4 linked regions of the Rhinolophus ferrumequinum genome follow. The main gene of each other region encodes a partner of the protein of the gene in region 4 in a complex. Links are inferred from orthologs where the notes say so. Each region holds a gene or a part of one and is shown on either strand. Other genes may lie near its edges.

The links.
Region 1: LSM7 (region 4) and USP39 share a complex: the UniProt entries of both Homo sapiens proteins name them as parts of the U4/U6-U5 tri-snRNP complex. The link is inferred for Rhinolophus ferrumequinum from reciprocal best matches to the Homo sapiens genes LSM7 and USP39.
Region 2: LSM7 (region 4) and SNRNP40 share a complex: the UniProt entries of both Homo sapiens proteins name them as parts of the U4/U6-U5 tri-snRNP complex. The link is inferred for Rhinolophus ferrumequinum from reciprocal best matches to the Homo sapiens genes LSM7 and SNRNP40.
Region 3: LSM7 (region 4) and LSM6 share a complex: the UniProt entries of both Homo sapiens proteins name them as parts of the precatalytic spliceosome. The link is inferred for Rhinolophus ferrumequinum from reciprocal best matches to the Homo sapiens genes LSM7 and LSM6.

The regions. Positions count from the first base shown.
Region 1 is NC_046296.1:8,725,274-8,732,377, forward strand, and holds the start of USP39 (U4/U6.U5 tri-snRNP-associated protein 2), read right to left. Parts: upstream 3,272-7,104; 5' UTR 3,178-3,271; coding exon 2,910-3,177; intron 674-2,909; coding exon 604-673; intron 1-603. Other genes in the region: C13H2orf68 (UPF0561 protein C2orf68 homolog), read left to right, coding at 4,804-4,910, 4,992-5,110, 5,892-6,043, 6,401-6,523.
Region 2 is NC_046292.1:21,444,162-21,452,121, forward strand, and holds the start of SNRNP40 (U5 small nuclear ribonucleoprotein 40 kDa protein), read right to left. Parts: upstream 3,098-7,960; 5' UTR 3,049-3,097; coding exon 2,905-3,048; intron 698-2,904; coding exon 568-697; intron 1-567. UniProt on the Homo sapiens protein: Required for pre-mRNA splicing as component of the activated spliceosome. Component of the U5 small nuclear ribonucleoprotein (snRNP) complex and the U4/U6-U5 tri-snRNP complex, building blocks of the spliceosome.
Region 3 is NC_046301.1:19,253,177-19,260,333, reverse strand, and holds the start of LSM6 (U6 snRNA-associated Sm-like protein LSm6), read right to left. Parts: upstream 3,219-7,157; 5' UTR 2,991-3,218; intron 2,984-2,990; exon of another isoform or gene 2,729-2,983; intron 1-2,728. UniProt on the Homo sapiens protein: Plays a role in pre-mRNA splicing as component of the U4/U6-U5 tri-snRNP complex that is involved in spliceosome assembly, and as component of the precatalytic spliceosome (spliceosome B complex).
Region 4 is NC_046301.1:60,955,580-60,963,298, reverse strand, and holds the start of LSM7 (U6 snRNA-associated Sm-like protein LSm7), read right to left. Parts: upstream 3,186-7,719; 5' UTR 3,078-3,185; coding exon 3,072-3,077; intron 2,980-3,071; coding exon 2,889-2,979; intron 1,614-2,888; coding exon 1,542-1,613; intron 102-1,541; coding exon 1-101. Other genes in the region: SPPL2B (signal peptide peptidase-like 2B), read left to right, coding at 3,239-3,298, 7,075-7,194. UniProt on the Homo sapiens protein: Plays a role in pre-mRNA splicing as component of the U4/U6-U5 tri-snRNP complex that is involved in spliceosome assembly, and as component of the precatalytic spliceosome (spliceosome B complex).

The sequences.
Region 1 (7,104 bases), on a different chromosome or scaffold from region 4:
GCACTAAAGTAACAGGAACCCAACAGCATTCCAAATTAAGAGACTATAGGTGGAAGGACATAAAAAAATGAAAAATTCTTTTATAAAGGAACCACTAGCCACACACAATTATTGGCGCTTAAATTTAAAATAATTAAAATTAAATAAAATTTAAAATTCAGTCCCTCAAGCCACATTTCAAGTGCTCAACAGCACAAGTGGCTTGTGCCTCAGGGTGTAAACTGAAAAGCATCCTGAGATGCCATAAGGGATCAGAAAAAAGGGTATCAGGATGAGGTAACTAACTGCTTCAGGACATATTTTTGTCTCTTTTTTTCTCTAGTAAATCCCAGGCATCTAGAGTTGAGCCTAGCACATAGTGGGTGCTCAATGAATATTTAAAGTTGCTATCATCATTGACACTACGTATCCTGATATTTCATCACACGGATTCAAAATGAGCTACAAGCTCTTTATGCATGTGCCCACCCTAAAACAGCATGCCCTCTGACACTTTAAATTGAAGAGCAAAGATTAACAGTAAGATTAACAGGAACTTCCCAAGAGCTTCCTGCCTAGATTCCGCTGTTCTGCTGCTGCCCTCGGCATCCCTGTCCTACTGACCTGTTAATGGTATCCAGGTATGGGCAGTGGCGGCTCCTCCGGTCCTGGGAATCCACCCGGCCATTCTTTGCTGCAAGGAAAGTCATCACAGGTTGTGAAAATGGGAAACCCGTACTCAGGGGCAACTACGAGTACAAAGAAACAGGCAAAACTAATCAAGGGGAGCTCCTATACAGGTAGCCTGGCAACACCCAAAAAAAACCCACTAATGGAACAAGCCACAGAGAGAATATATTAGAAACACATATAACCCCAACAAATTATTTGTTTGCAAATTACATGGAGAAATGTACTGAAGCAATTAAAAAAAAAGCCAGACAACACAATAAAATGAGGAACACAGCCCACAAACATATTACAAGATGCTCAACCTCATCAATAATCAAGAAAATGCAAATCTTGCACAATGATGTGTGTCACACCTATCAGGGGGGAAAAATGCAATCAGAAAATTCCAAATGCTGGCGAATATGTGGAGCAATGAGAATGCTTGCGCACTGCTGGTGGGAGCGAGAACTGTTACAGCCTCTTGGAAAATAATACAGCAAGATCAAACCTGAAAATATGCAGACCCTTTGACCTGGCAATCTCTCTATCTATATACCCTAGAGAAATTTTTCCACACATGCACCAGGAGTACTTTACTAAAAAATATTTACAGCATCAATACTTGAAAGAGCCCCAAGTGGAAACAACCCAAATGTCCCCCACAAATAAAATGGAAAAATATATTTTGGTGTATCATTAATGGAACACTATGTAGCCATCTATCTGGATGTACCTCAAAAATATGGCCAGCAAAAACAAAAAAAAAGGTAAATCAGAAAACTACACAGTATGATTCCACTTATACCAAATACAAAATGAAATTATAAACAACAAAAACAGAAGTGATTAGAAAAAAATTCAGGATAGTGATTACCTAAGCAAGGAAGGAAAGCATATATCCAACTAAGGAGGAGCCTATGGGAACTTCCAAGGTTATGTACCACTTCTTAAGCTGACAGTGTTAGGAAACAATTCTCCAGGGGTCTCTCGTGTTTCTGCACATACTGTGAACAGAGGCACTAACTCCATCCAGAGGATCTTATCAAGGATGTTTATATAGTGAACAACCTTGGAAGACAGAAATAGTTATCTCCCTACAGAGCAAAGGGGAGGCAAGCTCACAGCCTATTATAAAAGACTCGGGCTCTGGAAGCTCAGAATTCCTCTACTGTAGGGCCACCCACTGGGCCAAATGGGTTCCCTTCATATTGCATTGTGGGAACTGACTTGGGGAACTGACACCAATGCCACACTCTGGCTACTGTTAATGCTGTAACAATAAACCGTCTCAGGCCCAATAGTCCCATGTCTTCCTTCAGCATGAAAGGAAAGCAGCCTAACTTGGTAGCTTGCAAATAGGATGAAATCTCAGACCCTTCACAATTCTTCACACGCAGATTTAAGAATGTACATCCACACACTTCTTTACACTGTACTTCTGCATTACATTCAGTACATCTTGGTACCTGTGATCTAGTCCATGATAAAAATAAAATGAAAACTAAAAAGACAAGTCAGTAACAACTGGGATCCAAGTGTGTCCCAGAGAAAACAATCTCCATACCACAACTATGCAAAATATCTAAGAAACAATTTCTCTTCTAAAGAAAGGGAAATCTGAGGCTGACAGAGTATTTAAGCAAAGGAAATTAGAGAATACCTTGAAATTACTAACTAGATTATGCAAAGAATATTTGTCAAGCATTTATGAGCAAGGGACTACTCTGGATCCTGTGTGTGATGCAAAATGTCAAATACAGGACGCTGAGCTAAAAAAATGTAAGAGTTAATATGAGTATATTCATATACAGATACACAGTCCTGGAAACTGAGGAACGGGATTCAAACTGAGAGGCAGGATTACAAGCCTGATCTGGCTGCTAAGGTCTGGCTAACAGGGCAGTAGGGTGCAGGCGACCAGGGTTCAGGCTCTCAAATCTGAATAGTCTTTTAATTCCAGAAATTACAGCAAGACTCAATCCTCAGGTGTTTTATAAAAACTGAAGGACATAACACCTGTAAAATAATAAGCACAATGCCTGGCCCGCGTTAGGCACTCGATAAAGGAAAGCTGCTGTTGTCGTTAGAAATCTTGTAACTATAGTTATTATTAAGACTAGTAGCATCTTCATTAAGACGCCAATCGAGTCGGGTCTCGGACACTGGTAAAGTGTGGATTTCCAGACCCACCCCGGGAAGGTTGGAAAGAAAACAGAGAACGCGTGAGTAGAGCCCGCGCCCAGCCCGGCCCCGCGCACCTCGCACCTCCCGCTCAGGCTCGGAGTCTTCGTCCGCCTCGCGCTCCCGCTTCACCCGCACAGCCGGGATGACGGGCGCCGGGGCCTCGCGCGTGCTAGGCGGGTCGACCTCCCGCTTCACGCGCACCGGACTGCCCCGGGAGCTCGGCACCTCGGTCTCCCGCTCCCGATCTCGCTCCCGCTTGACGCGACTCGAGTTGACCCGTGACTCGGACTCGCGTTTCACACGGGTGGAACCACGAGAGTCCCTCTTGGACCGGCCAGACATCGCCACTACCGGCCCAGTCGCCCAGCGCAGGAGCTAGGCACGTTCGAAGGCGCCGCAAACAGCCAATCGAGAGCGCCGCTGTTACCGAGCCCAAGGCTCTCTACGAGTCGCCGAAGGGGACAAATTATACCGGAGGAAACTGGGAAGTACCGGTACTGCCTCTGTTGTGGCCTCTTTGCGGCTGCGTGCGCACCTGAGACCGATCTGCGGGCCTACTGCCACCTTACCCGAAATTTCCAGCTTAAAGAGGCAGGAACTTTTTATTGGCTGCATAATATCTGGATCAAGGAAGCTGTCATTGAAGATACCCCAGGTATCTTCAATATACTTTGTGCCCCGAAACCAGCATGGGGCGGGGGCATCATCTCCACAGTCTCCGGGCTTCGGAGACCGACGCCCCTTGCACAGGAGAACTAGGCGACATCCCCAAATCATCTCCTTCCTGCAACAACCCGGAGTCTATATAATTCCACACTTAGAGGGTTGTTCATATTGTCACAGGCAAATGGAAACGTTGAACAAAGGGGACTTACAGTGACGCTAATAAAGCTAAGGCTTCAGGGCCTGTGACTCGCGACCCCCTTCCAGGACCCGAGACTGCTTTCTTTGTAAAGTTCTACTGAGGTGTTTTGACATACGATAAACCGCACGTTAAAGTGTGGGATCTGCTCCATCCTGCCGGGATGGATGTATGTACACTCGGAAACCATCGCCACGATCAACGTAAGGAGCCTCCCCGCCAGCCCCAAACGTGTCTGCTTTGTCACTACAGGTTAGTGTGCGTGTTCTAGACTTGCACGTACAGGAAGCACCCGGGTGTCCTTTTTGGCGCGTTTATTTTGAGATTCATCCGCGTCGTAGCAACAGCGCGTTCCTTGAGATCGCTCAGCTGTATGCCACTGTGTGGGTGCACCACAGTTTGTGCCTGTTCCAATGACAAATTCCTAATGTTTGTCCCTGTTCTAATGACAAATTCCTAATTCTGTCTATTCTTTTAAGGAGGACTGGAAGGGGGCGCCCGCTCAGACCCCTGAAAAGCCCTGAGTCCTCCCGCGGGAGCAGTTAAGACAGCTGGCCGGTGGGCGCCGAGCTGGGCGGTCGGCTGGCCGGCTGCAGAGCCCCGGCGCTGGGGCCCTGCCAGAGCACTCGCCTCACCACCTTTCTTGAGGTAGGTGCCCTCCGAGTCCCCATTTACAGATGAGGAAACTGAGGCCCCGCGGGGTCCGGTAGTCAGCCGAAATCGTGCAGCGACTCAAGTTTCACAACACCCTACCCCCAGAGAAAGGACGGGAAGGCTCCACACCGGACCTTCAGTGGTGTCATGGGTGCTGAATTGTTTGACGTTATCAGCTGTAAACCTAAAATGTTGTTTCTTCTCCATGTCACAAAGAAAAGTCCCGCCCAGGGCGTGGAAGTCGCGCACGCCCCACCTACCCCCGCGTCAGCGCCTGGAACTCAGCGCGCGGCGCCGCTCGGCCCCACGGCCCTTTCCCGACGGAAGGTCGGGGTGCGAGGCCGGAAGGCGAGCGAGAGGCGGTGCCGACCTCTCCCGGCGGGAGGGTGACTAGTGCAGCCGTTGCGGCGGCGGCGGCGGCGGCGGCGGCGGCTCCGCGCCCAGGGCTCCCGATGGCAGCGACGCCGGATCCCGGGCCGGGGCTCTGCTGCAAGCCTGGCGGGCGGCTGGACATGAGCCACGGCTTCGTGCACCACATCCGACGGAACCAGCTGGCCCGGTACCGCCCCGCCCCCGCCGTTCCCCCACCCCCAGCCCAGCGCAGCCGGGCTGTCCCTGATTCCCGCTCGGCTCTCCGCAGGGATGACTACGACAAGAAGGTGAAGCAGGCAGCCAAGGAGAAGGTGAGGAGGCGACACACGCCCGCTCCGACGAGGCCCCGCAAGCCCGACCTGCCAGTGTACCTGCCGCGACACCGAGGTGAGGCCGCCCGTCCAGCCTGCCTCCCAGCGTGCGCTGGCCACTGGCCCTCGGCCTCAATGCACTCCCTTTCTCTAAATGGGAAAAAACAAAAACCTTCTTATTCTCCAGGGTTCATTCAGTTCATCCCGTTCCTTCCTGGAACCTGCACCTCGACGCTCCCCAGTCTCCGCTCAGTGATTGTTTTTCCTGGAGGACAGGAAAGGAAGGGCTCATGGCCCCCAATTAAACGTCACTGTTACAGGACATACCTGGGAACCGGCAAGACAAACCCAGTAACAGGCCTTTTTCCCAGCTTCCCTGGACGTAGCGATTGCAGTAGTTAACGTACGACGCTAGACTTCGTGAGCATGACTTAAAGTGCTTTGAAGTTTTCTGTACGTTGTCATGTTTTCATAGGACTGCATAAGTTAGGAACTGTTCATCGTTTCTGTTTCACAGTCAGGAAAATAGGCACAGAGAGGTTAAGTAACTTCCCCAAAATCTCAGAGCTCGTAAATGGCAGAGCCTGGACTTGAACCCAGACAGAGCTCTGTTCGCCTTTCAACTGCCTACCAACCCTATTCATTAGACAGATGTGCATTGTGTGCCTACTGTGTGACAGGATTGTGCTGGCCCTAGAGCAGGGATACAAAGGTGAAACTGAGTGGTGGCACATTTCACACACATACATATATACACAAACACACACAGGGTTCATAAAAAGATGGGGGCTTTTATCTGTGGTCAGGAACTCCAGCAGCCTTCCTCTCCTCCTTCTCACTCTGGTTCATCCTTCCAGATGGCTCTACCCACCCAAGCAACCCAGACTGTGAAGAGTCCGGTGACGGCAGCAGTAGTGGTGGCTCGGAGCCAGAGCCTTCTGGCCATCAGCTCTTCTGCTTAGAATATGAGGCAGACAGCGGAGAAATCACATCAGTTATCGTGTATCAGGTACGCCTGGTGGAAACAACTACAGCCTGAAGGTCCTGGGACATGGGAGAAATCACTCCCAGACCCTGAGTCACTGTTTTCATCAGGGCCAAAGGGAAGTGTCTGCTCCACATGGAAGCACAGACTGCTGGGCAGTGCTTTTGAGCACAACTCCTGTCACACGGTGATTCTCAGTGAGCATCAGGGAGGGCTCGTGGCCCTCAGTTGAGAATCACTATTACAGGGGATACCTGGGAAATGACAGGCACTGGCAAGAAGTTGTAAGTCAGAATTCTTTGAGAGTGTTGTCTAGGGACAGGGCAGGTTGCCTTTCCAGAGAGGCCAGGCCCTGAGCTTCCTGACTCTTCCTCCACATAGGACGATGACCCAGGAAGGGTGAGTGAGGAGGTGTCAGCACACACGCCTCTGGATCCATCCATGCGAGAGGCCCTCGAGTTGCGCATCCAGGAGGAGATTGCAAAGCGCCAGAGCCGACACTGACCAGGCTGAAAGCATTGCCAGCAGGCGAGACTCACTGCCCAGGGAGCTCACCCCTAGTTTGGGGGTGCCAGGACCAGTCTGTGCTGATCTTGAGACACACACACACTCATACCCCACAGCTGCTGCACCCACGGGAAAAGAGTGTTGCAGGATCATGCCTGGCCACGTCCCTTGTAGCCACTCTTTCTTGGGTATTGGCCCATTTGACCAGCCTCGTATTTTGGAATTTTTGAGAATTTTATTTGGCTAGCTTGGTGTTCTCCAAGCAGAGACTCCAGGGAGAGCTGAGGTTTATGAAGCCTGTGCCAACATGCTTTCTCACTGAGTTCATGTGCCCTGCCACACCTGGCTCCTGCTGCTCCACCCAGCTCTTTGAGCTATGTTTGTTATTTTATGGTTCTTTGCTACTGTGCTTCTGCTCACTTCCATACATCTTTTCCTCCATATTTTTTTCAGCTGTTTCTTTGTTCTTTTCTTTCCTTCACCCGTTTGTATCAGAGTTCATCAGTTCCATCCACCCCCAACCTCCCAATGTGACTGCACCTCCAGCTGCTCAGAACTTTGGAGGTGTGGGGTTTGGG
Region 2 (7,960 bases), on a different chromosome or scaffold from region 4:
AAGACAATGTCAGATGCTTCTGTTACCTTCTTTCTCACCACTCTCCCAAAGTGAATTTTCTCCTTATTTCTCACAAATGGGTATTCCTTACTAGTAGCTAAGCACCTGGCAGCAGATCCTAATGATGTACCGGTAGGTTATCCAAGTTGAACTGCCACTTTAGGATTTTCTCCTTCCTTCCCATATGCTAAGATTCTGAGTGGATCAAGAAGACAGCCTCCCACCTTCGGGGAAAGGAAGTTATCTCTCTCCTCAATACTCCCATTAGCCAGTTAAGCCTAGATTTCTTATTTTGCTAAATCAGCTCCAGATTTGCCTCCATGAGGAAGATATTCTCAAAGGAGAGCCACTCACTTCCCAACTAATAACATAACTCCTATATTTACCACACAGACCCTGAGTTTTACAACCAAACTCAGTCAGCATTTTTACAACCCTATTTTAGCGTGCTAGCCACCAGCTTATGTGACCAACTCAGACTGACACCTTCTGTGGCACCAAAGGTTTTAAAAAATAACCGCTATTTGGCAGACAGCGATTATTCAAGATTCAAAAACTATGTCTTACATATCAGTCGGTCAAATCCTGCAGATGCTAAGGTGGATCCATTGGGGTGAAACTTGCAGCAGTATACTTCCCCTTCATGTCCTGAGAGAAGCATGATTGGAGCTTGAAGGGAAGAACATCTTGGAGGCCCCTAAGCAAAAAAGAGACATACAGGGTAGTCACTGCATCGAGGCAAAGGAGGCCGCAAAATTGGGGAGTGGGGGGTGGTGGTGGTGGTGGAGGGAAGACAAGGGAAATGAGTGAGTGGATTTCTCCTGATTTAGAGAACTATAACTCTTCTCACGTAACTTATGCCTCCCATATGATATTTTCCTGCTGAAGTGTCCAGTGTCTGCCTGTTACATTAACTTTCCGCCTCCCTCACTTTGCTCCTGTCCCATAGCCAAGTTTCAATTGCTTATTCATGTTAAACTCATTTCTGTCTCAGGGTCTTTACACTCGTTGTTGCCCTTGACAGGAATCCTCTTCCCCGAGAGCTTCCTGCATTTGGCGGCTTTCAAATGTTTCCTGTTCAGAGAGTCTTTCCTTGATCACTCAAACTCTATCAGTACCCCACCTCTACTCTGTGTTCCACTAACACTCACAAAGCTTACCATTACCTGAAATTACCCTCCTTCTGTATTTGTTTACATATTTTCTTTTCCCCCACTAGAAAAGCTCTGTGAATGCAGGGATCCTGCCTGTGTCATTCACCAGTTTTCCCAAGTTCTAGCTCATTTAGTGAATGAACGATTGAACTGAGCTTCCCAACATCCTTCAGCGTATAGCTTATTGTAGAAAGCCCTTTTGATTATGGTGTTAACACTAAGGCTAAGCTTGGGCAATACACTGACACCTGGGCTGGTATTTTTACTTGTCAGATAAACAACTACATTTCAAAACCCCCCAACTTGTCAGTAGTTTCCAGCTTACTCTTTATTAAAAAAACACAATGTGCCAGGCACTATCCTAGACACTGGGAAAACAGTATTGATCAAAAGAAACAATCGAGTTTGTGTTCTAGTTAGGGAAGCAGAAAGAGAAGGAGGGAGAGAGAGAGAAAACAAGTAAAACATATAGGTGGTGGTATATGTTATGAACAAAAACAACAGGCAGCAATCTGGGTTAGTGAGTACGGGATGCTGCAATTTAAAATAGGGTAGTCAGTAAAGCCCTCGCTAAAAAAGTGATATTTGAATGAAGATTTGGAGGAGCTAAGTGTGTAAACCATGCGGACATCTGGAAGAAGAGCATTCCAGTAGAGAGAACAGCAAATGCAATGGTTTTGAGGCAGGAACACAGAAGCCAGTGTGATTGGAGCAAGGGTGAGCAATGGAAAATTGGTAGATCAAAAAGGCAAAGGGGGCAAAAGATTTTAAAGATTTTGGTTTTACACTAAGTGAAGTGGAAAGCCACCAAAAGTTTTCAGCAGAGGGTAACATAGTTTGACATTTAGAAGGATTCCTCTGACTGCTGGATTGAGAATAGGTTGACCATACAAGAGCAGAAAACAAGAATACAAGTTAGGACCCTATTTGCTGTCATGCCAGGTGAGATAATAATGGCTTAGATCAGGAGTCAGTGATGGAGGTGGTAGAAGTGGTAGCAATTCTGGATATATTTTGAGGATGCCAGCAGAAATTTGCTGACCCACTATTTGAAGCGTTGAGAGAGAAGATACTTATTTCTTTATCTGAGTCTAATAGCACAGGAGAGGTGTGACACTACGTCTATCTCACAAGAAATGTAGTAAAGAGCATGGGTTATAATTTAAAATCTTTTACTACATTGTTTTTCCATCTACAAATGGGATAACAGTTCCTAACTCTTAGGCCAAGAGTAATGGAGTTTTCATTAAAAAAGTACTTAGTACAAGGTCTCAATGAATGTTGACTGTTCTTAGGCTGTTAATAGTGCAGAGAAATAAAGGGAAAAGCAACTTGCTCAAAGTTCCAAAGCGAGCCAGTATCATTCATGTCCTTCCTTCACTCATTCATTCATTATTTCATTCACCCATCCACTCTACAAACTTTTATGAATGCTTGTTTACTCGAAGCAGAATCTCTGGAAGATTTAGGATGCAAAAACCCCAGTCCCGATTTTGAGCTCAAGATCCTTAACTTGAATTCTAACGCCACCTCACAGGATGGTCGAGACACTGAAAACAGTGTAACGTATGGAGCATTCACAGGGTGTCCGCCGCTTTTACAGTTTTTCTGCTTTAACTCCAGGTAGAAATCCTCGTTCCGCCCCGCAGTGCGGAGGAGAGGGCAGGTGCGGGATCACCCGATCCCGATGCTGGAGAAAGGAGCGAGGAAGATGAGCTGAGGGCCGACGGCCGCCTGCTACTTCACTCACCGCTTGCAGCAAAGCTCCGGGCGCCGCCTGCTGCTGACCCGCTCCGGGGCCCGACCCCGCTGCTCCCAACAGCAACTCATGCCGCTGCCGCTTGACTGGAACCAGCGGCAACTCTGGGCCCTTGCGCTTCTGTTGTTCTATCATGGCGGCACCCACTATCCCCAGCCCCGCCGCAGACCGCGCCGACAAGCTCAGACACCGCACGATTGGTTCGGACTTAGTCTTTCCCTTAGAACTTCCGGCTTGGAGAAGCCAATTGGCTTCCAATATTCCCCTCTGCACCGCCCTCTGGATAGTCTCTTGTTATTGGTCAGTTCTTTCTGATGTCATGGGATTACGATTCTGGGATTGGCGAATGGAGCTGGAGTCCCGCCTGGGCGCGCTGTGTCTTGTGGGTGGAAGCGCGCTGACTGGGTTTTGGCGTTTCGCGCAATGCTGCGGTCGGGAGACCTGCAGCTGACGCTGGGTAAGTGTATAAGGGGTATGTGAGGTGGGTAGCTGCGGCATCTGGAGGCGGTGCCTGGGTTGTGTGGTCGGAACCTGGCATTTCTCAAATGAAGGTTTGATTGCTAGGGGGAGAGGCAGGCTCAGAGATCCTATCCGGTTTGTAGCCCCTGGGTTCCCTTTCTAGACTGGAGCCGAGCTGTGGGGTCTCTGCGGTTGCCTGAGGCCCTCGACGGCTGACTTCATCAAGCGCCTACTCCGTCCAGCCCTGTGCCAGGCGCTCCCAGGGAGAAGAGGCCTGTACCCAGCCTCCCCTAGGGTCCTGTCTGACTGAGGAGGCTGCCTGGTTTCTGCCACTGATTCTGCAGCGTTTTGCTAGGGTCTGCTCTGTGCCCCTGCGAGAGACAGATGAAGGAGATGTCTGACTCCTGCCTCTCCAGAGCCCGGTCTTGTTGAGAAATTTCGACTCATACCCTTCTTAATCGCCCAACTGATAATTATTGTGCAAAGCGTTGAGAATACATTGGGAACCAGACATGGCCCCTGACCTCAGGGGTTTGAGGCCAATGGGGAAAACATGTTAAACAACAATCTCACCAAGAAATGTACAAATTAAGTGCGACCTAGGAGAGGTGCACACTGGATCGGATGATGTTATGAGTGCCTGAAATAATCAGGGAGGCTTCTCTGAGGAAAAGATGCCTGAATTGATACCTAAGGAAGACTTCTAATTAATGAGGTGAAGAGAGGAAGGCAGAATATTCCCTATAGAACAGCATGGGCAGAGGCCCTGCGACAAATGGAAAGAAAATGACTAAAAAGCATAGAGGCCAGTGTGACCGATCCAAAGAGAATGAAGGGGAGTATGGTACAAGATGACGCTGGAGACAGGTAGCGGTCAGGTCTTTCAGGACTTTGTAGCTTTTGCTATAAAACTGATGGGAAACCACTGCGGGTTTTTCTGTTTTTGATGGACAGTGGGTGGTGTGATGGGGGAGGGGCCTTGATCCCTCAGGCTCAGTAGTGTGAACAGATGGAAGAGAGAGAGATGCAGACAGACCACTTAGGTGAGAGTTGTTGGCAATGAGGAGTGACGTATTGGAACTGCAAAGCATTGGACAGTTTCTAGAGGTATATAAGAAGTAAAATCAGTAGAACTTGGTGACGGATTGACTCGGAGTGAAAGAGGACTCAAATGTAACTTCTAGGTTTCTGGCTTCTTCAACTGGATAGTTTTGTTTGTTGTTATTGTTTTGGCAGGGGAAGGGAGAGTTTGTTCACCACATCCTGGAGGCAGTTTGAAATACGGCTTTGGAACTCAGAAGAGAGACTTTTGTTGGAAATACAAATTTGGGAGTAATTTGCCTATAGGTGATAATTGAGCCACAGGTGTGGGTAAGATCACCCAAGCTAGAACCTTGAGTAGTTCTAACATTTCATGGCCAAGAACAGGAGCATGAACCTACGAGAGAGAGAGAAGAAAGAGCTAAGGAGGAGGATCAGAGATGGATGCTGTCTCCGAAGCAAAGAAGTGGTCTGTGTCAGAAACTCCTGAAATTGAAATAACATGAGAATTGAAAAAAATATGTTGGCTCTATCATCATGGAGCTCATGGTATCCTTAGGAAGAGTTATTTTGTTGGTGTGATGGGGCCAGAAGCCAGATATGAGGCAAAGATGTAGGCAAGGACGTGGAGGCAGTGAATCTGTGAATCTAGAGAGTATTTTTCATACATATGATTATAAAGGAGAGGAGAGGATACGGAAGCGGAAGAAGATGAGGGGTCACCAAGGATTGAATTGAGAGAGTGATGGAGAAACTGAATATGCAAGAGAGAAATTGGTTCACGGGTCGTGTTCTGAGAACATAGGAATGGATGGGATCCCAAGGACAGTTAACGGGAGTAGCCTTAGGAAGAGAAATAGTTTCTCCATGTAACAGAAAGAAACAAGGAAATGTAGGCAATAGATACAGGTTATTTGTATGTTTGGTATTGGTAAAATGAGTTCTTTTCTCATAGCTTTTATTTTCTCAGTAAAGGAAGAGGGAATTACATACTTCGAGTGGGATGAGGTCAGGCATTTGAGAAGACTGCAGATTTGGAAATCATTGTAGAATGTGAGAGAATGCATTTACCAGAGAAATCAGGGATTGTCTTTCAGCATTAAGGACCCATTTTAAGTTAGAGATCATAATTTTTTAACAGCACTATCAGGCTATTTCATGCAGGCATGGAAAAAAACATCCAAGTATGGCAGGGACTGTGGATTTGGTTTGCTTAACACACATGCCCATCTCTAATGTGCCTTCTCTTGCTGAAAAGTCTGGGACACTAGAAATGATCTGGACTCCTTTGCACCTAAAATGAGAATTGAATGTGAAAACTAGTTAAATATGGAGAGGAGAGTGGCATCCAGTTTTGCTGGCAAATATAGCAGAGACAGTGAGTTTCTCTAGTCAACAGCTTTCCGGTTTAGTGACATTCTGCAATGATAGCCATGACTTTCTTGATTGTGGCAAAGACTGTTATTTGGGGGATTAGGAGTTGTTTCTGGAAGTTCTACCAGCGCCTGCCCCTGTGGCCCTTCCAGTAATTTTGTAAGCCACATAATACCTGGCTGTAAATCCCTTTCTCCTTAACCTAGCTAAAATGGATTCTGATGTTTGCAATTCTACTCCACCAGCGTAAGTGTTTTGCCATATAGGCAAACTGTAAAGACAGTTAAAGGAATGTCACAGTATTGTTTGAATGATGGAGTGTGGAATCTAAGCTGGATAGGGAGGAAAGTGAAGAAAAAGGAGAGGGCTGATAGATTGGAAGAAAACAGACGACACTAGATGAGGGTTCTAATGAGGTCAAATAACAATAGTCTCTGCTAAGAGGACTCCCACTTATTCTTCAAGGACTGCTCAGTTGTCACCTTGTAAACGTCCCGGCTTCACCCCAGGCCCTTCTTCTCTTTCTTGTTTTCTTAGTATTTGGAACTTAGCCACTATTTTAGCACTGATCATACCGTGTTGTAATTGGTCACCATTATTCCTACCAGATTAGGAAGTCTGAGTACAGGGATTGTGTTGAAAAGGATGGTTTATAGGCAAGTGTATATAGCCCTTGGAATGGCCTAAAATTTGTCTCTTTCTAGCTGTGAGTTTTGGACAAGTTACTTCATCCCTGTAATTCAGGGACACCCTACTTTGTGGAGTTGTTTTTAGGATTGAAAGTAGGTTTATGAAGTGCTTATTAGCATGGGGCCTGACATATAACCGTCAGTAAATGTGCTGAATTGATGAATTAACTAACAATGTAAAATAGGGTAAAATTCAGTGCTTCAGTATTTCCGTAAACAGTTACGAATTTCTGTGTGCTTTACACTGCTAAGCACTGGAGATTTGAAGAATATGCTGCCAAGACAAGGGCATGCTCAGAAGATTTCATAATCTAGAAAGGGAAGAAAAAAATGTTTGTAAATTGGATTTGAATCTCATCTGCATCATTCATAGTTTTGTAATTATGAGTAAGTTACTTAGCCTTGCTTATGTCTTAGTTTCTTCATCTGTAAAATGGCAATAATAATTGCCTCTCTCATAGGGTGGTCAAAACGGGAATTAGTTAAGACAAATAAAGCTCTTAGGTTAATACATGGCCTATGGGAAGTACTCGAATATTGGCCATTATTATTAGAGGACTTGGAAGGGGCCTTCAGGGTTAGTGACTGAAAGAATAGGATGGCGTGGAAGAGTAAGTACTGGTCTTGGGGTCTAGTACCAGCCTGGCTAGTTGTGAGCAGCCTGCATCAAGTCACTTGCTCCCTGGTAGTTCACTTTCAGTTAAATAGGAATAATGGGCCAAATGATCTCAATAATTCCTTTAGCTTTCATATTTTACGAGTCCATTTTTATTTTTTGTGTTTTTCTTTGATTTTTACTATTTTTCCTCTTTCCTGCATTTGGCCATTTTCTCAACAGATCCGTGACTGGAGTTCAAAAAGGAAGTAGCATCTGTCTAAGATAGTCACTCCAGAAATTGGGTGGAAAGGGGGCAGCGTGGGCCACTAGTGCGGCATTTGAAAGTCTCCCATCTTCTGACCTATCCAGCGTATTGTGTGGAGCTCAGTTCCTCCTCCTTCATTCTGTAGACCAGAATGCTTTCTGTCTTCTTTCTCTGCCTTGGTTTGGCAAATAGTAAGGCTCTGTTCACTCGTTCAAGACAACTTTTGGTACCTACTGTATACCAGGCACTGGGAACACAAAACCCACTAAGAAATGGTCCTTGGATACATGTTTGAATGAATGAACCCGGCTCATTGCAGCCTCATCCATGAATGATGTCCTTTTGATTCCTTCTCAGTGGAATCTCTAATGTTAGGGCCTAGTTAGTGTTACAGCTGTGCTCTGCAAAGCTTAGATCTAGACTGCGAATTCTTTTTGAGGCGGTGTAGAATAGTGGTTGAGAATGCAGGTTCTGTCATCATTATTCTGTCTTATCCCAGTATTTTCACTTATCAACTTATCTCTTCTCAATTTATATGTATGCCGTGTTTCCCCAAAAATAAAACGTAGCTGGACAAGCAGCTCTAATGCGTCTTTTGGAGCAAAAATTAATATAAGACCC
Region 3 (7,157 bases), about 42 Mb from region 4:
AAGGCCTGATCCCAAAGCCCAAGCCTTTTCAAAGGCACAGCTGCCCTTTTGAATATGTCAAGGTTCTCGTGTTATACCTGGGGAATGGCCAGAGACAGATCTCGCTAGAGTAGTAGCATGGGGGGGTTGGGAGGGGAAGGGAGGGGGAAGGATACCTAAAGTCACAAAGTACTGTAAATCAGCCTGCGAAGAAATAGAGTGGTCAAACGGAAAGAAATATATCCAATGTGATTTTGAGCTATGTCACTGAGCAGAAGACATGCAAATCATTGTTTCTTGGAAATGCCTACCTGTAAAGTTTCACCTATTCTTAGAGTATTTAAAGTTTAGGGTGAAAAAAAGTTTGAAAAGCAAAAAATTGTTATGAAACATAACATTACAACCCAAGTAAATGCAGCTTTAGCCGAATACATCTGTGTCTGGGAAAGCTCAGACACTGAGGACAGCTCTCTAAACAGAGCCTTCCTTTCCGGCTGACCAGTCTCCCACCCGCGGTTCTAAGCTTCTCGGGGACAGGGAAAATGCCTTACTCTTGTGGTATCCCTGGTACCTAAGCACATGGCCCAAGCCTAAGGAAGAGGCATTTAAGGGCTGTGCCAAGCCCAGCCTGTCCCTCCCCTGCCCAGCTCCGCGGAGTGACGAGGACAGTACAGTCCATGCACTTCAGCAGCTGTAACACAGGCACATCTCTATTACTGAGCACCAAATAAAAGAAGGATGGAGGAAACAAACGTTTCTGTGTTGTCCAAGAACCAGCTGCAGCCCAATCAACAGAGATGTTGCTAAAATGCAGGATCCTGCAGCTTACTCCTAGTCAGACCCTCTAGGGAAGGGGTCCTGGAATTTATATAAAGTTTCCCAAATAATCCCTAGAAGCAAGTAGTTCTTGACCGGGGGGATTTTGCCCCCTACCCTTAGGGACATTTGGAAATGTCTGCAGACATTCTGGATTGTCCTGAATGAGGACGTGGTGCCACTGGGATCTATTAGGTTGGTGCAAAAGTAACTGCAGTTTAAAAGGTTAAAAATAATCGCAAAACCCACAATGACTTTTGCACCAACCTAATAGTAGGTAGCGGTAAGGACACTGCCTACCCTTCCACAAAGCACAGGACAGCCCTCCATAACAAAAAAGTATCTGCCCAAAACGTCAACTGAGGTGGAGAAACTCTGCGATTAGCAAAAAAACCATTGTTCTCTGGTCTTAACGCAACAAGAAGTTTTAAAAAACCTTCAAGGTGTAAGAAATGGGAACAAACATTTAAGTTCTAACCACATGATAGAATATAAATTATAACTTATTAGAAATTTTATTCCAACGTTTAGAGACTCTGAAAACAACTGTCAAAAAATCTTGAAGGGCTTGACATTCTAAATAATGGATTCCCAGTCCTGGCCATGAAGATGGTCACTTTCCCATTTTTCAGTGTCACAGATCCCTGAGATGATTAAAATCTGTTACCTGGTAAAATTCTAAAAGGACAGAATAATCCAAGTGATGTAAACATCTTTTTAAATTCTAATATTGAGTATGCCAGTTTAGTAAGAGATCACCTGACGCCCTTGAGAGGTGGGAAACCTGAGTTCTAATCCCGCTCTGCTACTTAATTTGCTGTGCCTCTCCCATCACTCATCACTTCACCTCTCAAACAAAGCCCCAGGTCCCTCATCTGCAAAATAAGGCAGTTATGCTAGCTGATGACTAAAGTGATCTAACAGCCTATGCAGTAACTTCCCACACACAAACATAACCTCTGAAGATTCCTTCACAAAATTCAAGCAAGCAGAATTGCCAGACAGCACCAAAAAAAAAAAAAAAAAAAAAAAAAAATCCAAAGAGAGGCTCAACTTTCCTGGTTGATGTACTGGAAATGTATCACTACTTTTGGTGAAACAGGAACAATCCTACAAGAATGATGTAAACTACTAAAACTATTTTGGAAAACAATCTGGCAATAGGCATGAAGACCTAAAAAGACCTTACTAGAACACAGCATCTATTCTAACAATTTTACTTCTCACAATCTAGTCCAAGTAAATACTCTGAAATCAGTTTTAAAAAGGAGTTTATCAAAGTACTATCTGAGATGCTAAACTGAAACAAGAATTCACAAATACCCTAAACGCCCCACAGTTGGGAAATGCCTGAGAACTTTATGGGACCTACACAATGACGGAACAATCAAAGGATACAACATTAGAGATGATATTTAAGAAAAAATTTTAAATGAAATTGGAAAACTAAATATAGTGTTAAGTGATAAAATGAGTGCTCTTAGTTCAAGGAGAAATGAGCACAAGCAAGAGTACAATATAGCAAGAAATTGTTGGTGGACGGGTTCAGTGAATGATTTTCTTCACTGAACTTCCGTATTTTCAGCTTTTCTACAACAGTCTCCTATTAATAAGGGGGTACACTAAATCGCGATCAACCTTATCTGCATCACCCTACCCCAGACACCCTGAACAAAAATACCTGCTATGAACGCGCGCGCGCCCCTACACACAAAACCCCGGTGACAGGCTTAACACTACACAGTCGTGGGCATCCCCAACCTGAAACCGCGGTAAGGTGAGCTGGCGCAGCAATTCGTTCCCGGAGGCCGGGCGCCACCACGCAGGGCTGCAGGCCTGGCCCCGTGGCCGGGGTCCGCTTTCCCGCCGAATCCCCAGGAGGACCTCCGGAACTACACCCCCCCCCCCCAGCCCAGCCGGTGCCGTTCCTCACCGCGCGGTCTAAGCGCCCCCCGGGGAGGGGCCTCAGGGCCGGGCTCAGGGACCCCAGACCCCACGACCGGAGACCTCCCAGCCATTCTAGGCGCGCAGGAGAGAACGTGAGCGCGGCATTTGGGGGAACCCGCCACCGGCAGGCTCCGGGATGGGCGCTCCTTCCCGGGGCTGCCGGGCCGGCCCGGAGTTGCTACTCCCCAAAGCGGCCCGGGGTTAGGGAACACTGGGGCCTCCCACGCCCCCCGCGACCGCGAGCTCACCTGCCGGCCGGGATCCGGAACCCCCACTCTGGGAGCCCCACAAGCCCCGCCTCCGCCGACAGCGGGATGAAACCGAAACTGAAACCACCAAGGCAGCCGCACTTTTCTCCTTCAGCGAATCAGTGCTTCCCGGGCTATGGCGGCCCGCGGGACCAAAAAGACCGGGTCTTGCAGGGGCGCGCAAATCCAAGAATCCTGGTTTGCCTAAAGGCAAAGTTGGTGCTGTGGGCTTCAAGTGGAAAGCGCTGGTGTGCTCTCCTTTAACGGAAAGCACTCCATCCCCCCCAAAAAAAACACGTAAAAAGAAAAGGAGGAAGTGATCTTCAGCCAAGACTTCTTTTAGGCAGGCATGTAAGAAATAGCTTGAAGTCATAGGAAACTGGGATTTACTGCTAAAATAATGATTATACATATCCAGAAATGTCCTTGAATAATTTAATGCAAATAAATACATAAAACAAGTGGCCTCAAATCTCTAAATCCACCTCTGGATTTTGATTGTGTGAAGGCGAAGCCATTATTAGCAAGAGATTGTTTCCGTGGCAACGTTAATTGACACAAAAAGAATCAAAATCACTAAAGTAGCTCTACTATAATGGCATAAATTGAGGTACGTTACAAACTAGTTCTAATTGGAAATGGTGGGCAGGCATTATTTAAGTGCTGTTATGGGAACTTGGTTTGGAATTTAGCATGAAGTCTCTATTCTTGTAATTAATGGAAAGGGAGAGGAAAACTCATACTCACTTGATTCCTTTTATCTCTACACACATGCCCTCATCAACTTAAACTTTAATTCTATATAATTTAGAACACTATAAACAGTGATAACAGCTTTAAACAGATTCTTAACCCTAAGCGTTATAGAATCTAAGATGCAGAATTTTTTTTCTAAGACAAAAAAATGCTTTTCCCCTCTTATAAGCCTATCTCTTAGCATGAACCTTTGATTGGTATGGTTCAGAGAACATAGGCATGTTCTACCAAAACATTCTCTGATTTGGTAGAAAAGAGAGACTTTCTTATATCCTCATATAAAAGCTCATTTTGGGTAAAGATAAAGCATCACAGGTTTATTGAAAGACTATATTTGAAGTTTTTGCGGTATAAAGTATAACGTAAACCAAAATATTAAGTAAAGTTTTATTTAAATTAAAATAACTACAAAGAATGAACATAGTAGGATACAAAGCCCTATCCCTAAAAAATGTTCACAAAAGACGTCAAATTGTACCACAGTTCTCCCTGGTTGTTTGAATTGTTCAAAACATTCTTGTTTTAATTCTTCCCTTTTACCACAGAGCCCCGATGGAGCCATTAAAACTGGTATGGTGGTCAGGGGGCAATGAGGAATTTTAAGGGCATGGTTCATCTCTAGAGGTAGCTTCAACCTTTCCAAGGGGCATGGATCTGTAAGGGCCCAACTAGACAATCGAGATGGGTGCCATGAATGACTGCAAAAGCTAACGAATTTATCAAAATGTGGTTGTACCCAGAACCTTCTCAGCAACTTATAATTAGCTTTTCTCAACTCACAAAGCAACTTTCCATATTTCACAAGTTATTTTTTTAGCATCTGTAATTTTACAAAGAAAACATGTGCAAGATTTTTTCTGAATACTAGTCCACCAAGGACTAGTCTTCAAACACGGGAACACAAACAGTAATTTATTAAGGTCATAAAAATAATTTGACAAACTTTAGTTTAGCTTACATAGTTTAATTTAGTTTAACTGTTACAATTGATCGACCTACATTGACACACCATTATCACCCTAAGTCCATAGTTTATATTAGGGTTCATTCTTAGTGTTGTACATTATATGACAAACATATAATGACATGTATCCAACATTACAGTATAATACAGAGTATTTTCACTACCCTAAAAATCCTTTGTGCTCTGCCTATTCATCCCTCCTCTATCCCCACTAATCACTGGCAACCACTCACTATCTTTTTACTTTCTCCATGGTTTTGTCTTTTCCAGAATATCATAAAGTTGGAATCAAGCAGTATCATGTAGCCTTTTCAGATCAACTTCTTTTACTTAGTAATGTGCATTTAGGGTTCCTCTATGTTTTTTCATAGCTTTATAGCTCATTTCTTTTTAGCGCTAGATAATAGTCCATTGCCTAGATGTACCAGAATTTATCCATTCACTAAAGGGCATCTTGGTTGCTTCCAAGTTTTGGCAACTATGAATTAGGCCGCTATAAACATCTGTATGCAGGTTTTTGTGTAGACATAAGTTTTCAAGTCATGGGTTGAGTTTTCAACTCTTTGGGTGAATACCAAAGAGTGCAATTGCTAGGTTGTATAAGGAGAGAATGTTTAGTTTTGTAAGAAACTTCCAAACTGTCTACCAAAGTGGCTGTAGCATTTTGCATTCCCACCAGCAGTGAATCAGAGATCCTGTTGCTCCACATCTGCACAGGGTTTGGTGTTTCCAATGTTTCGGATTTGGGTCATTCTAATAGGTGTGTAGTGGAATCTCACTGCAGTTTTAGTTGGCATTTTCCTGATGACAGACGATGCGGATCATCTTTTCATATGCTTATTTGCTAACTATATGTCTTCTTTGGTCACGTGTCTTTTCTGATCTTTTGGCCATTTTTAAATCGGACTGTTTGTTTTTTATTGTTGACAGTATATTTTGGAGAACAGTCCTTTATCAGCTATGCCTTTTGCAAATATTTTCTCCCAGTCTGTGGCTTATCTTCTCGTTCTCTGAAGCTATTATTGTCAAAATAGGCAAACGCTAGTATAAAAATACTAAGGTTCACGCTCACCATTCTATTATTTGTTCCGCACTTCTATAGTCCTATGCCTTTAGAAAACTGTTTTTCAGTGTTTCATGTTCATAAGAAAAAGTATCATGTCTAGCTTATTTTTTAAAAACATCCAACAAACAGCTTTGTGGACATGTGGGTGGTTGTATTATGCTAACAATGACAGATACAAATGTGGAATTGCATTGGCCAACAGTCTCCAAAGCAGACTTTAATACCTAAATCAGTGTTATCCTTCTAAGAACACTGGCTGGTCTTGTTCCAGCAATGCATTACTGGTATGAACTGCTGGCATGCACTTGGACCTTTCCTGGACCTTCGGACTGGACAACAAAAACATCTCACCTGTCATATTCTAGTTCGGGGTATTCAGACCACTATTATCTATCTTTTATCATGGGATGTAAAAATTATGTGTTGGGGCAGCTGGTTAGCTCAGTTGGTTAGAGCATGATGCTCGTAACCCCTGGGTTGCCAGTTCAGTCCCCTCATGGGCCAGTGTGAGCTGCGCCCTCCCCAACTAGATTGAAACAACTACTTGACTTGAAGCTGATGGGTCCTGGAAAAACACACTTAAAATAAATAAAAGTTTTTAAAAAACCTATGTGTTAAAGAAAAAGAAAAGAAAGACACCACATAGTTGTTAAATACCTCTCTCTCTCTCTCTCTCTCTCTCTCTCTCTCTCTCTCTCTCTCTCTCTCTGTGTGTGTGTGTGTGTAGCCTTTCAAGCATCTCACTGTTATGCAGAGTCTCAATTCCAACTCTCTACCCCACATGGGGCCAATGCCTTGTCTCTTGTATTCATAAGCCTTAAAACTGTCACTTCCGTTTTTCCTCCTATTGACTTGATCATCTTCTGGGTGACTGCGAGTGCTTTAAAACTGGTTTCATCAGTTAGAGCCCAGGCTCTTCACTTCACTGGGCCAACTCCTAATCAGACATTAGGCCTTAACTCAAACATAAATTTCTTAGAGAAAGCCTTTGATAATCCCTCACACTAGATATTCCTCCTCTTGTTCATGATCAGAGAATACTATACTTCTCCTTTGTACCACTTGTAAATGCCACAATTCAATAACTCTCCGTGTGTGTGTGTGTGTGTGTGTGTGTGTGTGTGTATGTTTTCTCCCTCATATGTTCTCTGTGAGTGCAGGGCCAGTGTTTATGTTATTCAACACTGTATTTACTGTAATATCTTCTGAGAAGTAATATAAACTTATTGACTGAAGGACAAATTTCTCAGGAAAGTCGGTGTGCCTTTTATTTTTCATAAGATGGGACATATTCTGCATCACAGGTACTTGGTTCCAGATATAATGTTTGAAATGTTTAAATAAATGCTCCGACTTCATTGGCCAGCATTTTAGTATAACT
Region 4 (7,719 bases):
CATGCCGTCCTGCGGGCAGATGAGCACGACGGAGGTGCCCCTGCACACCACCAGGCCCAGCTGGCGGGTGTCCTCCGTGAGCTTATACTGGTCGTCGGGGTCTGCGGAAGAGGGCGGGAGTGAGGACCTGACACCGAGCCTGGGGTGGGATGGGGTCTGAAGACCCAAATCGAACGATACCCCGATCATTCCCTCCCCCCTCCCTCCAGGACCTCGGTGGGGACATGCTGGCCGGGCGGCAGGCCAAATACCTCCCAAACCAGACATGCAGCCTTTCTCCCTGCATCAGCCTTCAGGGGAGAAGCCTGCCCTGGTTCTGCAAGTGAGAACACAGAGACCCGGGGGACCGTGGGCTATGGGGTGGAGCTAACAGGGGCACTGGCACCGAGCCAACAGAGGGCAGCTGGAATACAAATTGGTCTGGGGCTCTGGGTTTCTGCACAATGGCAGAAGCCCCGTGGGGCCCGTTCACCCGTGTCAATGGGGAGTTAATGGCAGGGTGAGAGGGACCCCATGGAAGTAACAGCAAGTTCGAGGGGAGCTCTTCGGAGGTGACAGCGACTACAAGTCCTCATCACTGTTACTGCAAGATGTTGGGGAGGGGAGAATCAGGTGGCCCGCTGAAACCAGGCAGATTTGAAAGGCAGTCTTCTACCCTCAGATCCTGCAGGGACAACGGCTGTCTGGGCCTGAGCCTCCCCTCCCGGGAACTGTGCGGTGTGTCAGGCCTCCGCTGGGGACGCAGACTCACTCAACAAGTGAGTCTGCCGCCTGGTAGGAGACACTCTGAGGAAGGAGCAGCAGCCACACCTCTTAGGGCCAAATGGCCCTAAGTGCTTTGCACACTCAAGCTGACTTGGTTTCCCCACGGGCCCCATGCAGTGAAGCTGTCCTACAGACGAAGAAATGTATCCACCCAAGGAGGCAGACCCAGGCAGGAAGAGAAAAGATGAGGGCAGAGAGAAGCTCCCCGGGATTGGCTAAGCGGAAACCATGCTTCTCCCTCAAAGAGGGCCTCTCCCCTCTGGCCCCGTGACACTCATGTGTGGCTCCATTAATTTTTCACCAGAGTAACGTGTGTGTCAAGACACTGACGGTCCCCTGAGGGACACCGCCCTCCCTCCCTCCCTCCTTCCTAGGCCTTGGCATCCCCTTAATGCCTGGCTCAGGATGAGCCAGACTGACTGCCGTGGGCTGCTGCGAAGGGTCTGGGGACTTGGAGGGACAGGAACCGGGGTGAACACATGGTGACAGCAGGAGACTGGCTGACATCTTTCTAACCATGCCGGGTACGCTCTTAGTGCCCAGCACGGGCCTCAGGACCAGTGATGGTGGATCACAAAACGCCTCCACATCCTTTGAGTCCCCAGACAACAGCCTATTGAGCTTGCCTGGAATGCTGGGTGGGTGGGAGATGAAACACACCCGGTACCGGCCTGCTCTACAAGGACCGTGCTCATCACTAAGACGGCAGGTGAGTGGGTCTGGGACAGTAACACAGGCCCGGCAAGGAGGCCTCTGAGCCCCCTGGCTGCGCTCACCTCTCATGTATTCGATGGTGCCATCCAGCACAAGGTTGAGGAGCGGGTCAAACCCTTTCAGGATTCCACTGGCTTGTGGGAATGACCAAAAAACGAAACAGAAAGGCGTAAGATCAAGAGTCATTCGGGAGGCAGGTACCAACTGCCACTAAACTGCATACATTAAAATAGCGAATTTTATGTTCTGTGAATTTTACCTCAATTAAAACAACAAATAGGCATCCTAGGTTATGGCTCCTTGACCAAGTGATGTATCTTGGCACCTGAGAGGGGGTGTGGTCTGCGTGCCCCGGACAGGCCACCCACCCTTCCACCCTGATGCCTCTCCCAACCATTCTCTCTGGCCTCAGACCTTCACACCCACCTGTGCTTCTACTTGTAACGCTCCACCTCCCACCCCTCCTCTTCCAGGCCTCCCTTTGCCCTGGTCTCACCTAGTGGAGGCAGGTACCCCACTATGTCAGCACTCTGCTTGCCCATTTTCCCTGAAAGGTGGGGACCAGACGCTGTATTGCCCTCTCTTCACTAGATTCCAGTTAAGCACCATGTTAACACATAAAGCTGCAAACTGTGACAGGTGCTACCAGAAGGTTATGACGAAGGGGATTAGCCCCGGCTGGAGGGTCACGAAAGGCTTCCCAGAGCAAGGGCCTCGAGCTGAGAGCAGGAAAACGACTCTGGCAGTTAACCAGGTAACAAGTTAACCTCGTAAGAGTACTCCAGGCAGAGAGAAAATAGTACCTTTACAGCCCGGTGGCCGACGAAAGCTCCACTTGTTACTCTGAGGTACAAAAGGTTTGTCCTTACCCTGGGACAATGGGGAGCCCCAGAAAGCTGAACAGCAAACAAGATTTGATTTGTTTTTAACAGGTTCCTCTAGTCCACACCGGGAGTCTGTCTCACTGTAGGGCTCTGTCGTCTCAACGGGGGCGAGTCTGCCCCCCAAGGGACACTGGGTGAAGCCAGGAATGCTGCTCAACACCCCACGGTGCCCAGGACCGACCCCACGACCTAGAACATTCGGACCCCAACGTTAACAGTGCGGAGCCTGAGGAACCCTGGTGTAGGGAGACCAGTGAGGAGCTGCAGCGACAGAACCGCACAGGAGGCAAAGTCTCAACCTCGGACGACCCACTGTGGGTTGGATTAAGTTTGGTCCCCTTTCCATGTCTCAGTTTTCCCAGCCGCAGAAGGGGTATACCACCTCCGAACTCCCGGCGTCGCTAGGAGACTTGCGCGAGTCATCTGGGCCAAGCGCCTAAGCTGGGCCCGGGCATCAGCTGTCACTATCGCCGCGTGTTACTTTTCGTTAACCGTTCGGAGGGTGCGGAGTGGGGGGGGCCTCACCTTCGCGGCCTCCCTGAAACTTCACCCGGATCGTTTTGTCGATGTACTTGGACAGATCTAAGATACTCTCCTTCTTCTTCTTCTCTTTGTCCTGCAGGAGAAGCAGAGCGTGTGAGGCGAACAGCGCCGCCAGCCCTGGCGCAGCCCGCCCCTTCGGCCCCGCAAGCACAGCCTCGCGCTCACCGCCATTCTGCTGTGTCGCGCCACTCTGCGCAGGCGCCGGCGTCGTGCCCTTTGACCCCGCCACTCACGCACGCGCAGAATGTGTACGGCGCTTGCGCGGCGCGGCGCACCGCGCTGGGGCGTTGCTGGGAAACATCTGGCGACGCCTGCGGCGGGGACCAGCAGACATGGCGGCGGCGGCACCCGTGGCTTGGCTCTCGGCGGCCATCCTCCTCTTCGCGGCCCAGGTGAGGGCTTCGCCGGCCCCGCTGGCCCCGCCAGATGCGGTGACCCGGCCCCTCGGTCCTCGGCCGCGCGCACGACCCCCGCTGGGCCCAGCCTGGGGGCAGCCTCTGGGACCCGAGCCCCCCGCGCGGACGGTCCGCGGGCCCGGAGCCCCGCCGTGACCTTGCGGGCCTGTCTCTTGCCCGGCTTCGTTCCCCGCCTCGGAAGCCCTTCCCAGCCGCTGCGTCACTCATTTCCATGCGGGTCTGAAGTTGGGGGCCCCTCTTCGTCCCCCGGGCCCTGCTGGTCTCGGCGTCCTAACCGCTGCGGAGATTCCCGTCTGGCTCCGTAGCCTTGACCTGGTGGCTGCGCCTCAGTTATCCCTTAAGCACGATGCCAGCGCCCACCCCGGGGGTTCTGGTAAGCTGTCCAGCGCGGCACCCAGTGCCTGGCACTGTCGGGGAGCGGCCAGGAGCCCAGCCCTGGAGGGGGGGTCGAATTTCCTTCTCACTTTTACTCCATGACCTTGGGCAAAGGAGTTCCCCCGCTTTGGTCGTCAGTTGCTCCTCCGCAAAAGGAGATAAGAGTACAGCGCGGACTCAGCGAGATAGTGCATGGGGTGATGCAGGCGCAACATGCTACTTTTTTGTCATTTAACGTTAAGGGTCTTTGGTGCTGGTGGGGGACTGACCATGAGATGGCTGATGTACATTGTCATAAGCTCATCTTTTATTTCCAAATCCTTCCTCTCCCTGGATTCAGCAGCTCAGGGAATGGTGCCCGTAACAGCTGTGGAAACACAGCCATTAACCTTGACCTGCCCACTCCAGCCCACCACCAGCTCTCCGCTGTAGCTCCCAGCGGGCGGCTAGCGTTCTCCCTGTGGCCGCTTTTGTCCGCCACATCCCAGTCCATTCTCAACACAACAGTAGTGATCTCTTTCAAAGTGTCTCAGGTCTTGTCCAGATGACAGCTTTCAGGTGGCGTCCTGGTGCATTTGGGAGGCCTCTGATCCCTCTGACCAGGAAGTGCCCCTCCCTTTCCAGCTGTCCTCTATTGGAGGCAAGCTGCTTTGTTTTGTTTTGTTTTTTCTCTGTTTCCCTGGAATGCCGGGGTCATCCTGGTGTCAGCTTAGCTGTTGTCTCCCCCCAAGCTGTCCGGGATGCCCCTGTACTTCCCCCGAGCCTGTTTAATCATCTTCCTCACTGGCCTGAGCAATCTGAGGGCCAGGAGTTGGAGCTCTCCACACGTTTTGAATGAGAGCAGAGAGAGGGGATGAAGAGGCACGGGAACACCTCAGAGCGAGTGGGAAGGCTTCTCAGAAGCAGTGGTGCCCCAGGGCTGTTCTGAGGTAGGAGTCGGAGTTTGCTAGGTGGTGCAGGCTGAGGGAGGGCACTGCCGGTGGTCGGAGCAGCGCGAGCTGGCGGAGGTGTGAGAGCGGATGACTTATTTGGGGACGGTGAGGGGTCCACTGTGGCTGGTGTGGAGGCTGGTCTGATGCCTAGGTCCTGAGATAGATGTCACTCTAAAGGAGGCCCTGGGAGTGCACTGGAAGGGCAGGCTGGGGTTCCCCCTCAGCTCGAGGGCCACGGGAGTAAATGATAAGGACAGAGGGTAAAGGGGCAGGCTGGGTATGTGGCCTCCCTGGGCTGGGCAGGGAGTGGTGGACGGCTCATGGTTCTGGGGCCTTTGCACTTTATCCCAGGCAGGCTGAGGCTTATCCTTAGCATGTAGTCTTGGGAGAGAGTGAGGAGCACAGTGGGGCCTGCTCTTCCTAGAACAGACCCCTGGATGTAAACACACCCTGACACCGGACGGTGCCCCTCGGGTGCTCTGGTTCTTCCTGGTACCTGCGAATAGACTCGCTCCCCACTGGGCCCTAAACTCACTCGCTACCATTTTGAGATCTGGGCGATGGCTTTCACCTTCCCCAATAGGCCCACATCCCCCAGTTGCTATGAGATGTGTAAACAAAGGCCTGAACAAGAGGCTTAGCAGCAGATCTTAACTAATGTCAGTGCCACCCTGCCCTCCTCCACTAACCCCACCACCACCTGGCCCAGGCCCCCTACTGCTCCACCAGAACTTCTGCTTCCCACCTGGGTCCTCGTTTCTCCACCGCCTCCCAGAACTCACCACGTCCTATGAGAAGGGAGACTGCCCCAGCCTGGGCTCTAGCCTCCCTCAGATCCCCAGAGGTGGATGCTGTCATACTCACCCTAAAGCACAGGTCCCCTGGAAGTTCCTGGACCTGCCCGGTGTTGTGACGTGTCGGAACGTGGCTGGTCCTGGTTCTCCAGGTGGGGATGGGCCGTGCTGGGACACGGGCACGTGCAGCATTGGGTCTTTTTGACGAACTTCTGGTTCCTTTAACACAGCAGGCAAGGAAACCACATTCAAAGCGAAACCATGCCCTCCCTAGCGTTGGACACAGCACAGGTTTAGTTGTGCGAGTCGTGGGGAGGAAAGTTTGTAGGTGTGCTTGTGTATTCCTAAATGTCCTTTTTATAAAGAACTAGTTTCTACCCATTCCCATTTTACACAAAGGACAGTTTTTGCCAACTACCCAGCTCTCATGGATCAGGGCTCAGCAAACATTTTCGGAAAGGCCCAGACTGAATATTTTCGGCTCTGCGGGCAACTGTCCAACTCTGCAATGGTAGCCGAGAGCAGCCGGAAGCCCTGCATACAGGCACAGGGCAGCCATGTTCCAATAAAACTTTATTTGCAAACACAGAAGGTGGGCCGGATGAGGCCTGAGGATTGAGGGACCGTACACTCCCCGCAGTGACCCAGAGTCAGGAGGTGGCTCTGATCATGGGGTGTCCCATCGGAAGGGGCATACACTGAGCACGGTACTTGGGGGCATTCTGGTGGGGAGAACCTGGAAGAGGGACCTCCTAATTCTGCCCCCCTATTAAGGGACCGAGGAGTCATGAGAAGTGTGTGGAGGTTCTGTGGGAGCAGAGGCAGGTGGGCGCAGGATACTGCCTTAGTGAAGTTCTCTGACACCGCCTCCGTCAGCTTCAGGCAGCCCCCGCCCCACCCTCCTCTCCTGTGAGTGCTCGTGGCAGTGGCCCTACACACCCAGCTTCTTTGGAGCTTGGTACCTGTGAGCACTGCTTTGGCAGTTGGCACCTCACTCAAGGTGACAAAAGGAAGTGCCCGAGATGACTTGGGCTAGCTGGAGCATTGGCAGTCGGGGACTGTGGGGCCGGGACTTGCACCGGCGCCTGGTGTCAGCCTCCGGGCTGTGAGGTCAGGGCGCCTTCACCACCACTAGGTAACCAGGCCAGGATGAGAAGCTCCCGGAGGGCTTGGCTGTCTGAGAGCCAGTCCGTACCCCAGGCTTGGTGTCAGGGCCCACGGCCCATCAAGGTGGACGCCCCCACCTTGGCAAAGCAGCATCCGTGCTATGGGTATGGGTCCTGAGGTACCGACTGGCATCCATCCCCATCATGTGCCCATTGTTGGCAGCAGCTGCTACCTGTTTGTCTCCGTGGCAGGCTCTCTGGCTCTGTCTGGAGGCATATGTAGCCCAAGGACAGCAAGGCTGCAAAAGGATGTGCCCCAGGAGCACGAAGCGTGCAGAGCGCGTGTCGGGCCAGGAGGGTGCAGGGCCGTGGTCACACCAGCTTTCCCTGGGGACACTTGTCCCTGAGCTTGCAACCCTCCCTCGTTTTCTCCCCCCTGAGATACGTACGATTGTGCCCCATGTGTCCTGTTGGAGGGAGGAAACCAGCCCGACCCCCATGGCTGTCCTTGTTTGGTCTGACCCCTCCCTGCCCCATTGCTCCAGGTGACCTGTGAGTACGGCATGGTGCGTGTGGTCTCTGAGACGGGGGGCCCCAAAGGCAAGGACTACTGCATCCTTTACAACCCACAGTGGGCACACCTGCCACACGACCTCGGCAAGGCGGTGAGTACTGCCGGCCCTCGGGCTCGGGCTTTCGTCTGTCTTGTGGCTGTCCCCCTTCCCTCCCCGGTGTCCAGAGAGGCCCTCTAGGAGACTCATCTGCAGAAAGCCAGCTGGGGGGGTAGGAGGACCTCAGCTGGGAGACCAAGGTAGGATTGGGCCACACTCAAGAGGCTGTGGGGCCTCTGGAATCTGGGGCATTACCGGAGGGGCCCTGCAACCTTTCCGAGCCTCAGTTTCCTTGGTCATGAACTGTCAATAGACAGGCCCTGCTGGAGGCACTGGCCAGGCTTCCCTGTGCTGGCCTGGGGCTGGCTGGCAGAGGCGGCCTGGGAGGAGTGACAGCAGAGGGCATGGGTGAGCACCTGCCCCTTCCTCGTGGGAGCAGTGCTCCTCCACCCAGAGGCCCGAGTGCTCTAGCGAGGTGGGTTCTCACCACTGAGGCTGCTGCCAGCCCCTCGTGTCCCCCGTGGACGCGGGAGGCAGAGCTGGAGACGCAGGGAGGATTCCTGAAGGGTTGGCTCAAGC